2 linked regions of the Drosophila melanogaster genome follow. The protein of the gene in region 2 interacts with the protein of the main gene of each other region in a pairwise test. Each region holds a gene or a part of one and is shown on either strand. Other genes may lie near its edges.

Evidence for each region. The genes of interacting proteins can lie anywhere in the genome.
Region 1: the proteins of CG15764 (region 2) and PICK1 interact in a two-hybrid assay, tested with the Drosophila melanogaster proteins (one large-scale study listed by BioGRID).

The regions. Positions count from the first base shown.
Region 1 is NT_033779.5:12,693,279-12,700,042, forward strand, and holds PICK1 (protein interacting with C kinase 1), read left to right. Parts: upstream 1-1,754; 5' UTR 1,755-1,837; coding exon 1,838-1,884; intron 1,885-2,026; coding exon 2,027-2,245; intron 2,246-2,557; exon of another isoform or gene 2,558-2,862; intron 2,863-2,913; exon of another isoform or gene 2,914-2,988; coding exon 2,989-3,100; intron 3,101-3,147; exon of another isoform or gene 3,148-3,192; coding exon of another isoform or gene 3,193-3,993; exon of another isoform or gene 3,994-4,045; intron 4,046-4,187; coding exon 4,188-5,543; 3' UTR 5,544-5,639; downstream 5,640-6,764. Other genes in the region: CG6153 (uncharacterized protein), read left to right, coding at 1-124, 188-378, 442-566; IFT43 (intraflagellar transport 43), read right to left, coding at 709-970, 1,026-1,148, 1,216-1,239, 1,296-1,537, 1,596-1,634; CG5781 (uncharacterized protein), read right to left, coding at 3,193-3,993; CG17036 (uncharacterized protein), read right to left, coding at 5,874-6,428, 6,493-6,764.
Region 2 is NC_004354.4:5,866,964-5,871,399, reverse strand, and holds CG15764 (uncharacterized protein), read right to left. Parts: upstream 2,306-4,436; 5' UTR 2,219-2,305; coding exon 1,337-2,218; 3' UTR 1,134-1,336; downstream 1-1,133. Other genes in the region: GAA1 (glycosylphosphatidylinositol anchor attachment 1), read left to right, coding at 1-60, 130-297.

The DNA.
Region 1 (6,764 bases), on a different chromosome or scaffold from region 2:
AGTACGTGGAGAGCGATGCGGATGAAGAGCTCCTCTTCAACATTCCCTTCACCGGCAACATCAAGCTCAAGGGCATCATCATAAGTGGGGCCAATGATGACTCCCATCCAAACATGGTCAAAATGTAAGGAACAAAAGTCAAGGCTGCTTTAATATTACTATATTCATCATATATCTTATTTTTCAGCTTCAAGAACCGACCCAGGATGACCTTTGATGATGCCAGAGCAAAGCCCGACCAGGAGTTCCAGCTGACCCGCGATGCCCGCGGAGAAATCGAGTACTCACCCAAAGTGGTCACCTTCTCCTCCGTGCACCATCTCTCCCTCTACTTTCCCAGCAATTTTGGCGAAGACATAACACGCATTTACTATATAGGTAAGCTCACAACAATCTATGTTTTATCTGTGTTCCCAACTAAAACCAAGTCACTATTCAAAGGTCTTCGAGGAGAGTTCACAGAAGCTCATTACCATGGCGTAACCATATGCAACTACGAATCCCGTGCCAATGCAGCGGATCACAAGGAAAAGGCTTTCGATGGAGTCGGCAGAGCCATCCAATAGGGTTATAGAGATTAAAATTTACAATTTAATTGAGTATCTCTGTAGTGTATATATTTTGTGATCATTTAAGGCAAGAAATGTTTTTGTATTCGCTTAACTTATTGAGCATTTGTATTGCACAGATATTGTGGGCTAAATCATACTAAGTATATTGTGTGGGTGGAATCACATCGGGTCCTATTTTCATGCCCATATTGGGCACTTTATCCGAATGGATTTCAGCCGTGACCTCGGTGAACAGCTTGTCCCACTGCCAGAGATCGTCCTTCTCGTTGAGGCTCTCCTGTGGAACCAGGCAATCGGTGAGGATTGAGAGATCAAAGCCATCCACAGCTGAAAAGGCGTACTGGGAAAGCAAATCGGAATTGGCCTCCTTCAAAACAGCAGATCGTGAGGTGCCAATACTACAAATTACAACTTATTATCGTAGTGAAGAGAAATATAGCAGCTTCTGCTTACGTTGGCGGTTCTACAATCTCATTGAGCATGATTTCGTCCTTGACATCATCCATGTCTGGGATGACGGGAATGTCATCCGTTGGTATGGAATTTGTAGCCGACTTTGTTTGTTTAAAGCGCTCACTAAAATGAATTTTATCATTATAACAGTCGGTGGAAAGTGAAGTTATTGTGATAAACTTGTACTCACTCATCAAAGGAGTTTTTCTTGGACCTAAAAAGATATAGAGCAATCAGTAATGTGCCTAATTCGAGCCTAATCATACCCACTTTAATCCTTTGAGTCCAGAATCCGCCCAGCCACCTGAAATGCGACGAATGGGTGGTCGATGTGACTCGAATTCATTGTTGTATGTGGACGAGGTGGCCGTGTCCGAGGTGGTCGGTGGGGTGCCCGCCTGGACATTCAGCGTAATGTCGATGGAAATGTCCTTGGAGCCCCCAGCCGCCTGGACATCCTCCTCCTTCAGAACATCGCGACTCTTGGAGCGCCGACCCTTCCTGGCCGTCGTCTAGGGTGGCAAATAAATCGAAACTTCAATTTGCATCCATTTAAACAGGGTTACTTACCTTTCTTATGGTCATCTTGAGTTCTTCGGCCCAGTCCATCATCTTTTGTTTACGTTTATCCTCAGCGTTTCCAAGGCAACAAGTGGTCATGGTTACTCCGTGGGAATGTTCAAGTTTACTAATGGAGTTTGCCATTCGCAACGCGATGCGATAGTTTTCAAATCAGTTACCTATCGCCGATGACAGTTGGCGGAGCTTCAAGTGGCCAAAATAAACAAATATTTATTTTCTAATAACGCAAAATGCTGACGGACACGGAAGATGACTTCTTTTTCGAAGAGGATAAGATGTAAGTGGCCATTGAAAGCAATAAATTGCTGCAACACCTACGCCCAGCTCTATTTACGCACAACAATCTGTTGCGATGTGCCGAAAAGTGTCTGTTAAAAATCAATAATTGCCACCAAACTGAAACATATTGTTGGAATCAGGCCAGAACCGCTGCTCATCCAGTTGGATGGGGATGGTGCTCAGGCTGTCCGGCAGCCCAAGGAACGCACGGAGCAGCGAGAGCATGCCTCCGGTTCCGTCGCTCCCAACGAGGCCACCGTTATGCTCTGCTCCCCGGCGGGATTCTCCTGCGATTCCGCATCCGGGGACAGGTTCGGCATCGAGTCCGCCAGTAGGCAGAAGTATGAGTTAGACCGTCTGTAAGTCAACTCCGTTGACCCGGAATCGTTCCCATACTATTTCCTGTGGCAGCTCTGTTTTCTAAGTTCTGGTTTTTATAGTCTTTATCCTGTAGTTTCTACCAAATTAGCTTACTCTTGGTTTTTTATTGATTTTATTCTTTTAAATTCATAAATTGGTGTATTTATATTAATAGTAGCATATACACTTCTTTATTTAACTATTAAAAATTTAATTTTGATTCAGTTGCTGTTTTTTTTTTAATTATTTACTTTTTAAAGAGCGAACACAGTACTATATCCATTTTTTGTATAGTAAGAACTACAGAACTAGAACTAACAAGATTGTTGTTTATTTAGTTTATTAATTCCACCGAAAAAGGACAAATGTGAATTTCCTTTGTAGAGCCTTAGATGCTTATACTTAGGCTAGCTAGTATACAAACTATATTGAATTCGAGGTGTCCTTTGGCTTTCCAAGTCCCATCCTTCGAAAGCGTTAGTATCACGATGCCTTAGAATAAGCTGTCCCGATCAACAGTTTTCCCCATACAGCCCTAGCCAAACTTGATAATAATCCAATGGCCTTGCTAGAACTGGTAACATGGCTAATTAGAAAATCGCACCAATCGAAGTGAGTACGTATGGAAAACTGATATGGAATCACCAGCACATAACCATATATACTTCAAATCATGTAGCACGCGTAGATCACGCTTCAAACTATATTTCAATATCTTAACTTCTTACCAACCTTTATGCAGGGGCATGACTGTCAGCACGAATGCTGTCGTCATTACAAAGGATCAGAGCAACCTGATTGGCATCAGCATTGGGGGTGGAGCACCCATGTGTCCATGTCTGTATATCGTGCAGGTAAGTCTGAAAATCATGAACTCATAAACTCTCACAAAGATCTTTTTGCTGCCATATTCAGCTTGTTTCAAATTTAATTTACAATCTCATTTCTAGGCTGCCTGAGAATCTTTTCTAGCGGTGACCCTTGTTTGCTTCCAGGGATTCGGCGTAGCCTTGAAATTTGTCATTTTGCGTAGCTTAAAGTACTCGCTTCTTTCCCGTGCAAACCAATCGATGGTCTGCTGCTCCAAACGCCGATCCATCCGTATCCTTTTCCTCTCGTCATACACTTGGCGGCGCAGAGCACGCTCCGACGTATGGAGATGAAAAGGTTTTGGATGGGTAAAGGAGGACTTGACAAGCGGCGTAAAGGGCTGCCGGTTGAGGTAGTCCATAGAAGAGCCTGGATTGATTCGGGGCACAAAGTCGGATGTCTTTCGGCTCTGCCTTTGCTTCTTTAGGCGCTTGTTTAAAGCGACCATTGACGTGGCCAGCGTGGCAGGGCATCGGGGCTTCGTCACCGTTTGCAGAGAGTTCAGGTACAGCTTGCGCCTTTCCAAACGACGATGAGATCGCTCGAAATCGGGCACAGGTCTGCTCCGGAACTGAAACGCATTACTTTGCATGTTGGCCTCTCGTTTTAGCTTCTTGCGTTTCTCAGTGTAAACCTTCTGGAATTTGCATACCCTTGGTGTCTGTTTTCTGGTCGTCTTGAGCTTTTTGGGCTTTGCCTGGCTTTGGCCACCACCCGCCTGTGTACGCTTGCGCTGATGCTTTTGCACGTCCCGCTCCTGAAGCGCCGCCTGCAGCCTCTTATCCAACTGGTCGAATCCCGGAATCAACTTGGGTCTCGCATGGGACTCATTGCTTAAATCCTTTACGGACCAATTAAACCAGTTGGTGATGGTCATAATTTGGCTAACCAAATCGGTTTCAGTTGCGAAGGACTAATCTTAAACGATAATTTTGAAACTTAAAGTTATGAGTACTATTTGCTTGGTTTTATAAAAATGTTTACGTTTTGACACAAGTATGATTTACAAACTGTAAACAATAGCTTTCCAAAAAATGCAATGCTATAAATGTCACATCTTGTAAACTCTAGATCTTCGATGGAACACCCGCTGCTCGTGAGGGATCCCTGCAATCAGGAGATGAACTGTTGGCTGTGAATTCGGTGAGCGTGAAGGGCAAGACGAAAGTGGAGGTGGCCAAGATGATCCAGACGGCCACCGACGAGGTGGTTATCCATTACAACAAGCTGCACGCCGATCCCGAACAGGGCAAGACACTGGATATCATCCTCAAGAAGCTGAAGCATCGGATTGTGGACAATTTGTCGAGCAATACGGCGGATACGCTGGGTCTATCCCGCGCCATTCTGTGCAATGATTCGCTGGTCAAGCGACTGGAGGAGCTCGAGGGCACTGAACTGATGTACAAAGGACTCGTAGAGCATGCTCGCCGGATGCTCAAGGCCTACTACGATCTTCTGCAGACATATAAATCCTTTGGGGATTGCTTCACCCAAATATCGGTCCATGAACCGCAACAGCGGGCATCGGAGGCGTTTCGAACGTTTGGCGAGTTCCATCGCACCTTGGAGAAGGATGGCTTGGGCATCATCAAACAGATAAAGCCAGTGCTGGCCGATCTGGGAACGTATCTGAATAAAGCCATTCCGGACACAAAGCTCACGGTGCGTCGCTATGCGGATGCCAAGTTCACATATCTTTCGTACTGCTTGAAGGTCAAGGAGATGGACGATGAGGAACATGGCTTTGCTGCCCTGCAGGAGCCACTTTATCGCGTCGAAACGGGCAACTATGAGTACCGTTTGATACTGCGATGTCGCCAGGATGCACGCAGCAAGTTCGCCAAACTCCGCACCGATGTTCTCGAGAAGATGGAGCTGCTGGAATGCAAACATGCCATGGATCTGAACAAGCAGCTGCGAAGCCTGCTCGAAAGTTTGGCCGAACTTCATAGGAGTTTGGTGGATCGACTAGACTCGCTGCCACCGCTCTTTCCCATCGAAGTGGACTTCAAGGAGACGGACTTTCAGTACAAGTCGAGTACCCTGAAGCCGCAGGAGCTGGACGATGATGAAATCGAGGCCAACAATCATCCGCATTCCACTCCTTCGCAAGTCGATTGCGGTTTCGAGGCTGTCGAACAGCCGGCGGCAATTATAAATGTGGAAGCGGCCAAGGCGTCCGTTGATTCGTCCACCTTACAATCCGCCAGCGAGAACGAAACGTTGCTCAAGGAGCTGGGCCTGTACGATGTGGATCTGCTCTCCAATCCGCAGACCATTAGCAACCAAAAGGACTCCATTGCTGCCCAAAATGATGGCTACGATTTCGACTTGTTCTTGAACCAGGCGACTGCAGCCACCACCAGTTTGGAGCGCGATCTCATGTCCTCGAATGCGGAGGAGATGGACCTGCTACTGCAATAGGCTACTTAGTACAAATATTAAGTAATGTGTTAGATAAATATTAAATGTTTCAGTATTTGGTGTAGATATCAAAAAATATTAAAAGCCTTTCAATTTAATAGTAGCTTAGACTTTCATTTATGTTTTATTTCTGTAAAGTTTAACTTTATGGAAAGCAAATTCTTTGCTCAACAACTGATTTAACTTTTTACCTTTGTACTAGTTTGTTTAATTGATGGAATTTCTTATATACTATGTTGTTTGAATAAATAAGATAGTAAATAAGAAGTCCTGTATTTACAAACTTGCACATTTCGTCCTGTTTTGATTTGTGTAAAATCCTATATTATCTTATGTTAAAGAAACCACATTTTCCACACTCGACTTGTTAGTCCTGCAAAACAGTTTCACGCAGATAGACCCAATTATGGATATTCCACCCAAGACCACAAAGTAGCTACCGTAAACCACGTACTGATCCCGCGGCTCCAGAGCGAATCCAACTCGCTCCACAACCGCAACGGTCAGAATAGTCTGCAGGATCAGACCCACCAACGTATTGATACCGAAGATCAAGCCGAAACTGTCCTCCACCAGATTCTCGGCCACCACGGCACCCGCCACCGTGATGATGAAGAAGAATACGGTGCAGAAAAGCACATAGTTCACGTAGGCCACCCAGATCAACTGCGTCTTGGCGGCATAGATGAGCAGAGCGCCCAGGGCAGCGGCACAGATGGATATGCCCATCATATACGATCCCCGTCGCTTATTGGAGTTCAGCAGGCCCGCCAGAATGGCTCCAATAGCACCCAGCAGCGTGGCCACGGCCTCCACTCCGCCATTGTAAACACTGAGCTTATTCGGTGCCACCTCTTTCCACAGGAACTGGATGTAGGAGATCACCTAGAGGATTTAACATAATTAGTTTATTACACACTTAACTTCTTGCAATAAACGGCCAACTTACTTGAACTTGACCACAGGTGGCCAATGCCCACCATATGCTCCACTGCAGCACGACGGGATTGGAGTAGGAACTAACGAGGTGGTACCACAGCAGGCGGCATGCGTTGGCAAAGGAGAACTTTGGTGAGGTCTCTTCTCCGTCGGCAATGGTAATCTTCTCGGAACCCGCGTAGAAGTAGAGGCTACGCGGCACACTGGGCAGGAACAGGGACACGGCCAGGGAGATTAGCTGCGTGGCCAGCGAGAGGTAGTGCAGCTGCCGGTAATCCATGC
Region 2 (4,436 bases):
ATGCTGAGGGCGGCCACCGCGGCCATGGATGCCTCGGCTTATGGACTTATCGATTCCGTGGTAAGTTAAGATTTCAGTTGCCACTACTAACATACATAGATAATAAACTAAAATACTTTCCTATTGCAGATTTATGGCAACTGGCTGTACTTTGTCATCTGCACGATTTTCCTGCCGCTGTGGATCATCTGCTGGACCTTGTCGCTGTCCAAGCGACGCGACTACGCAGATTACCTGGACTTCGATGAGTCGCCATCAACGTCGCCGCAGCCGCAGTCAAAGGTGAAAACGAATTGAGGAGACGAACAGCACGGATTGCCATTCACTGGCTACATATATCAACTGGAAATGATCCTAAGATGAAGTGTGATAAACCCAACAAAACTGTGTGTGATGGCGGTAAGAGATTGCACATGCAGAGAAAATTCCATTTAAATGTTATGCATTTGATTAAATGTCTAAATAAAAGAAGCCTATTTATTAGTTGGAATAACTAAGTGTAAATGTAATCCAAAAAATATTAAATATACCACGGCATTTTCGATGTTGATTCCCAGTTAACTTATCATTTTAAATTACTTAAGTGGTTAACTTTATCAGTAGCTTCTTGTGATTTATGGATTTTCCATTATATTTGCAACTTTGTTTGCACGTAAAGCAGTAATGCATATATTTCCCATCCGTTGGTTATTATTTCTTTTGTCAATCCTCCGTCTTCGCTGGCGTTATTGGCCAGTGGAGGACAGGAGTTTCTCCGTGGAGTAGTGCTCAGTGGAGCACGTGCCTCTTTGAATAAGTGGAAAACTTTTCGACTATGACACGCAACTTAATTTAAACTTTGCACCGCTGCCAGCGCCATCGTCGTCGCTGCTGGCAATTAGTTATGAGCCAGGATTTGGCTCAATCAGAGGCATGGATGCATGGTGTCCTCGAAGCTGGGAGCCCTGCACTTGCCGCACCGTGTTTACCGGCGCCATTCAATCTGCAACTTAACAAGAAAACTTTCCTCACACAACCATTCAAAGGCAGACACAAAGTTGCGGCGGCACAGTGGTACTTTCACTCGAAATGTAGAAATGAGAAATTTTCGAATATCTTTTTATTAAATGGATAGATAGATTGTAAGATGAGTTCGGTCAAATCACTGAGCTGTATCACTGTATAAATCAGTTAACAAATATATATACTTTTTCAAGTAGTAGTTAATTAATCCTCGCAGTTCTAGTCTAATCGCAGCTTTTCAATATTTCTATGGGCCATCGTTAAAACAGCAGAGCACACAAGTGATTTTAGAGTTGTGTATCTTTATTCAAATACTATTCAAGGCTGGCCTGCGCTAGATGGCCATCTCCTGCACCTGATCCTCTTGGCTTAAAGAACCCATCGCCCTTCGCAACCATTGGCAAATCGAATTGGACGAGATAGGTAGCATCTCGTCCTGAGAGTCAGCCATATCGGTTTGGGTGCCCTTGCCGGTGCCCTTGCCTGGATTCCGATCCAGATACAGACCCTCTTTGGACTCCAGCTCCGTCTGTCGCTCCGCGTGGCGTTCCAAAGAGCGTTGACATCGGCTCCAGAGATCCTGGACATCCTGGCTCTCGCAGTCCGACTGAATGGCCTCTATCAGATATCTCATGGATCGCCCACTGTACTCCATCTCCAGGCTGCGGATCATTTCCGCATCGCTCTGCAACTGACACTGGATCGCCACCTGGCGTTCGAGTGCCTTGGCATCGAATAGCATTTGATCCAACAGTGCATCCGTCTCGGCGATCTCGATCCGAAGCAGATCGGCCATGTCCATGGCCGAACTAAGTTCCCCAGGTTTTGGGCAACGCGGCGAGGGTGGCGGTGGTGGTGGCGTCACCGGGATACGGGCCGTCTTACACTGGACGACACGTGGGGTCCTCAGATGCGTATCGGTCTTGCGCATTTTGAAAGCCTTGGGCGCAGGTCGTGGTGCTAGGCTACTGGGCCTACGCTTCGGGAAAGACCTTGCCGAGCTGGTCGCTGTGGTGGTGGGGTGTGCGGTATCACTCCTAGTCGTGAGCAACTCTGGCACTGCCTTCTCCAGAGATGCCTCCAGAGATGTATAGCCATTCACGCTGTTCAAATGGAGGCGACGGGCCTGGTGCACCAAATTGACGATAGCGCGATCCAAAGCCAAACTCCGGGCACTCACGGACTCCGCCGCGTCATTCAGATGTTCTGTGCTCATTCCAAAGCAGGTTTAGTGGAAAATTTTGATAATATTAATATATATATATGGCTATACTGTGAAGATGTAGTGTATATAAGATTTGGTACTACCGACCGAACCGTAGAGCAAACGTGTTGTGTGTGTCCCTGTCAAATTAGGTGAAATGAAGTGTTGCCAGTTGGAGACGGGCCTACTGGTTTCGGAAAACTCCAACTCCAAGATTACAAGTTTACAAAGGTTTTTTTCTCTGAGTGTATGAATGTGTCGCAAAGTATGCAGTTCGAAGAATATTTATATATGGTTAGAAATCTTTATACACAGCCCACTGTTGGCCAAAACGTTCGCATTATCCTTCGACTGAAGGATAAAGGGATGCGGAGAGTTCGTGATTGCGGGGGGGCGGGGGTGTTTTAAAATTGGCAAGTTGATGTCACATAATTGCCCCTCGAGCGCTCATCTTAATTATTGTGCTCGCTGACTTCCTGTTGCCCGACTTAATTCCCCGTTAAAGCCAACAACACACTCCCTGCGGTCGGGTTCGCCCCCCCACCCCCCACCATCCCACTCCAACGACCACTCTTTTGCCGGTTCCCTCTGCCGCCCATGGACTTACTGAGTGCGTCGCTGCTGCGTGTGGAAATAATTAAAATTGTTCGAAGAACGAGAGGTGTTGCACTTTGCATGTCGGCGAAAGGGGGATTGATGTGCAACATATATGTACATATGTATGAGTATGTGCATTATCGTGTCGGTTGGACAGAACAGCCATGCATTCATCGCGGATGTAAGGATAATGGAACCTACTTGAACGGCCCTTTAAAAAATTTATTGCTTTAACTATTAATCGTTTCATAAATTGAACCTTGAATGAGATCTGTAAATAAAATCCATTGCCAAACTGAGTTTATCCATTTGTAGAGCGACTTCAATTTTAGTTTCGCTGTTTTTTGCGGATTTTTTTTCAACGCTTCCGTGCTGCTTCTGTTTTAATGAAAAGTGAAAAGTGGGAAAACAAGTCCGGAATAGAGGAATACCAATCGAGAGCTTTCAATTTGCTCGACCATTGTTCTGCCTTTGTTTGCTTTTGGATTCGGATTCGGTTTCTTGTTTTTTTTTTTTTTTTTACCCGGGCTTTACTTTCGAAAAGAATTGAAACTTTGACAGTTATTTGTGTGCTTTGTCCGCCCCCTCGAAACAATGCACAAGCGGCGTCAATCCGCCCGACCTATATAGTCCTCCCCCCCCCCCCCCTAAACCACCACAACGAGGAGTCACGTGGCACTCCATTTTTTTGGAATGCCAACGATGAGTACGAAAAACTGGGCAGGTGAAATGGAAAACAAACGCATAGAAAGACAGGTACGAGAAAAAAGCATCCAAAAGACTATAGACATACACTGAGATCTTAGACGGAAAATGGAAAAAAATTATTTTGCAAAAATTAAACAACTTTAGATGAGCATTGTTATCATAACTTGACTAAAAGTGATCAGAAAGCAAAAAGAATAACTGTTTTGAGCAGCTAATAACGAAGGCTAACCATCCCTATCACTTTTTGACCGATTTAGGAAAATTAATTTTTGGACCAATTTTCGCATTTTCGGTAAGGGGTAACATCATCAAAATTTACAAAAAATGGCTAAAAAATGGAATTCCCATTTTTGGACACAGTTCGATTGGGAATTTAAATACGAACTCAACGTGATATGACATTCCGTATTCAGACAATTATTTTTAAAGTTGTGGCCAAAAAACTGACTATTTTATGACGGAAAATCGAAAAAAATGATTTTGGCAAAAATTAAACAACTTTAGATGAGCGTTTTCATCATAACTTGACTAAAAATGATCATAAAACCAAAGAAATAACTGTTTTGAGCAGCTAATAACGAAGGCTAACCATCTGTATCACTTTTGGACCAATTTAGAAAAAATAATTTTTGAGTCATTTTTCGCATTTTCGGAAGGGGTAACATCATCAAAATTTACAAAAAATGGCTAAAAAATAGAATTCCCATTTTTGGACACAGTTCGATTGGGAATTTAAATACAAACTTAACGAGGTATAACAATCCATATTTGAATGATTCTGTCAATTGTTACGAGAATAATTGTGTTATTTTCTAGGCGTAAAATTGGAAAATGATTTTTGGTACAAAATGGGATTATTTGCTTTCATTGGCATTGTAAAACAAAATTCGTAGAGCAACTATTTTGATTGAAACAAATGATCTCT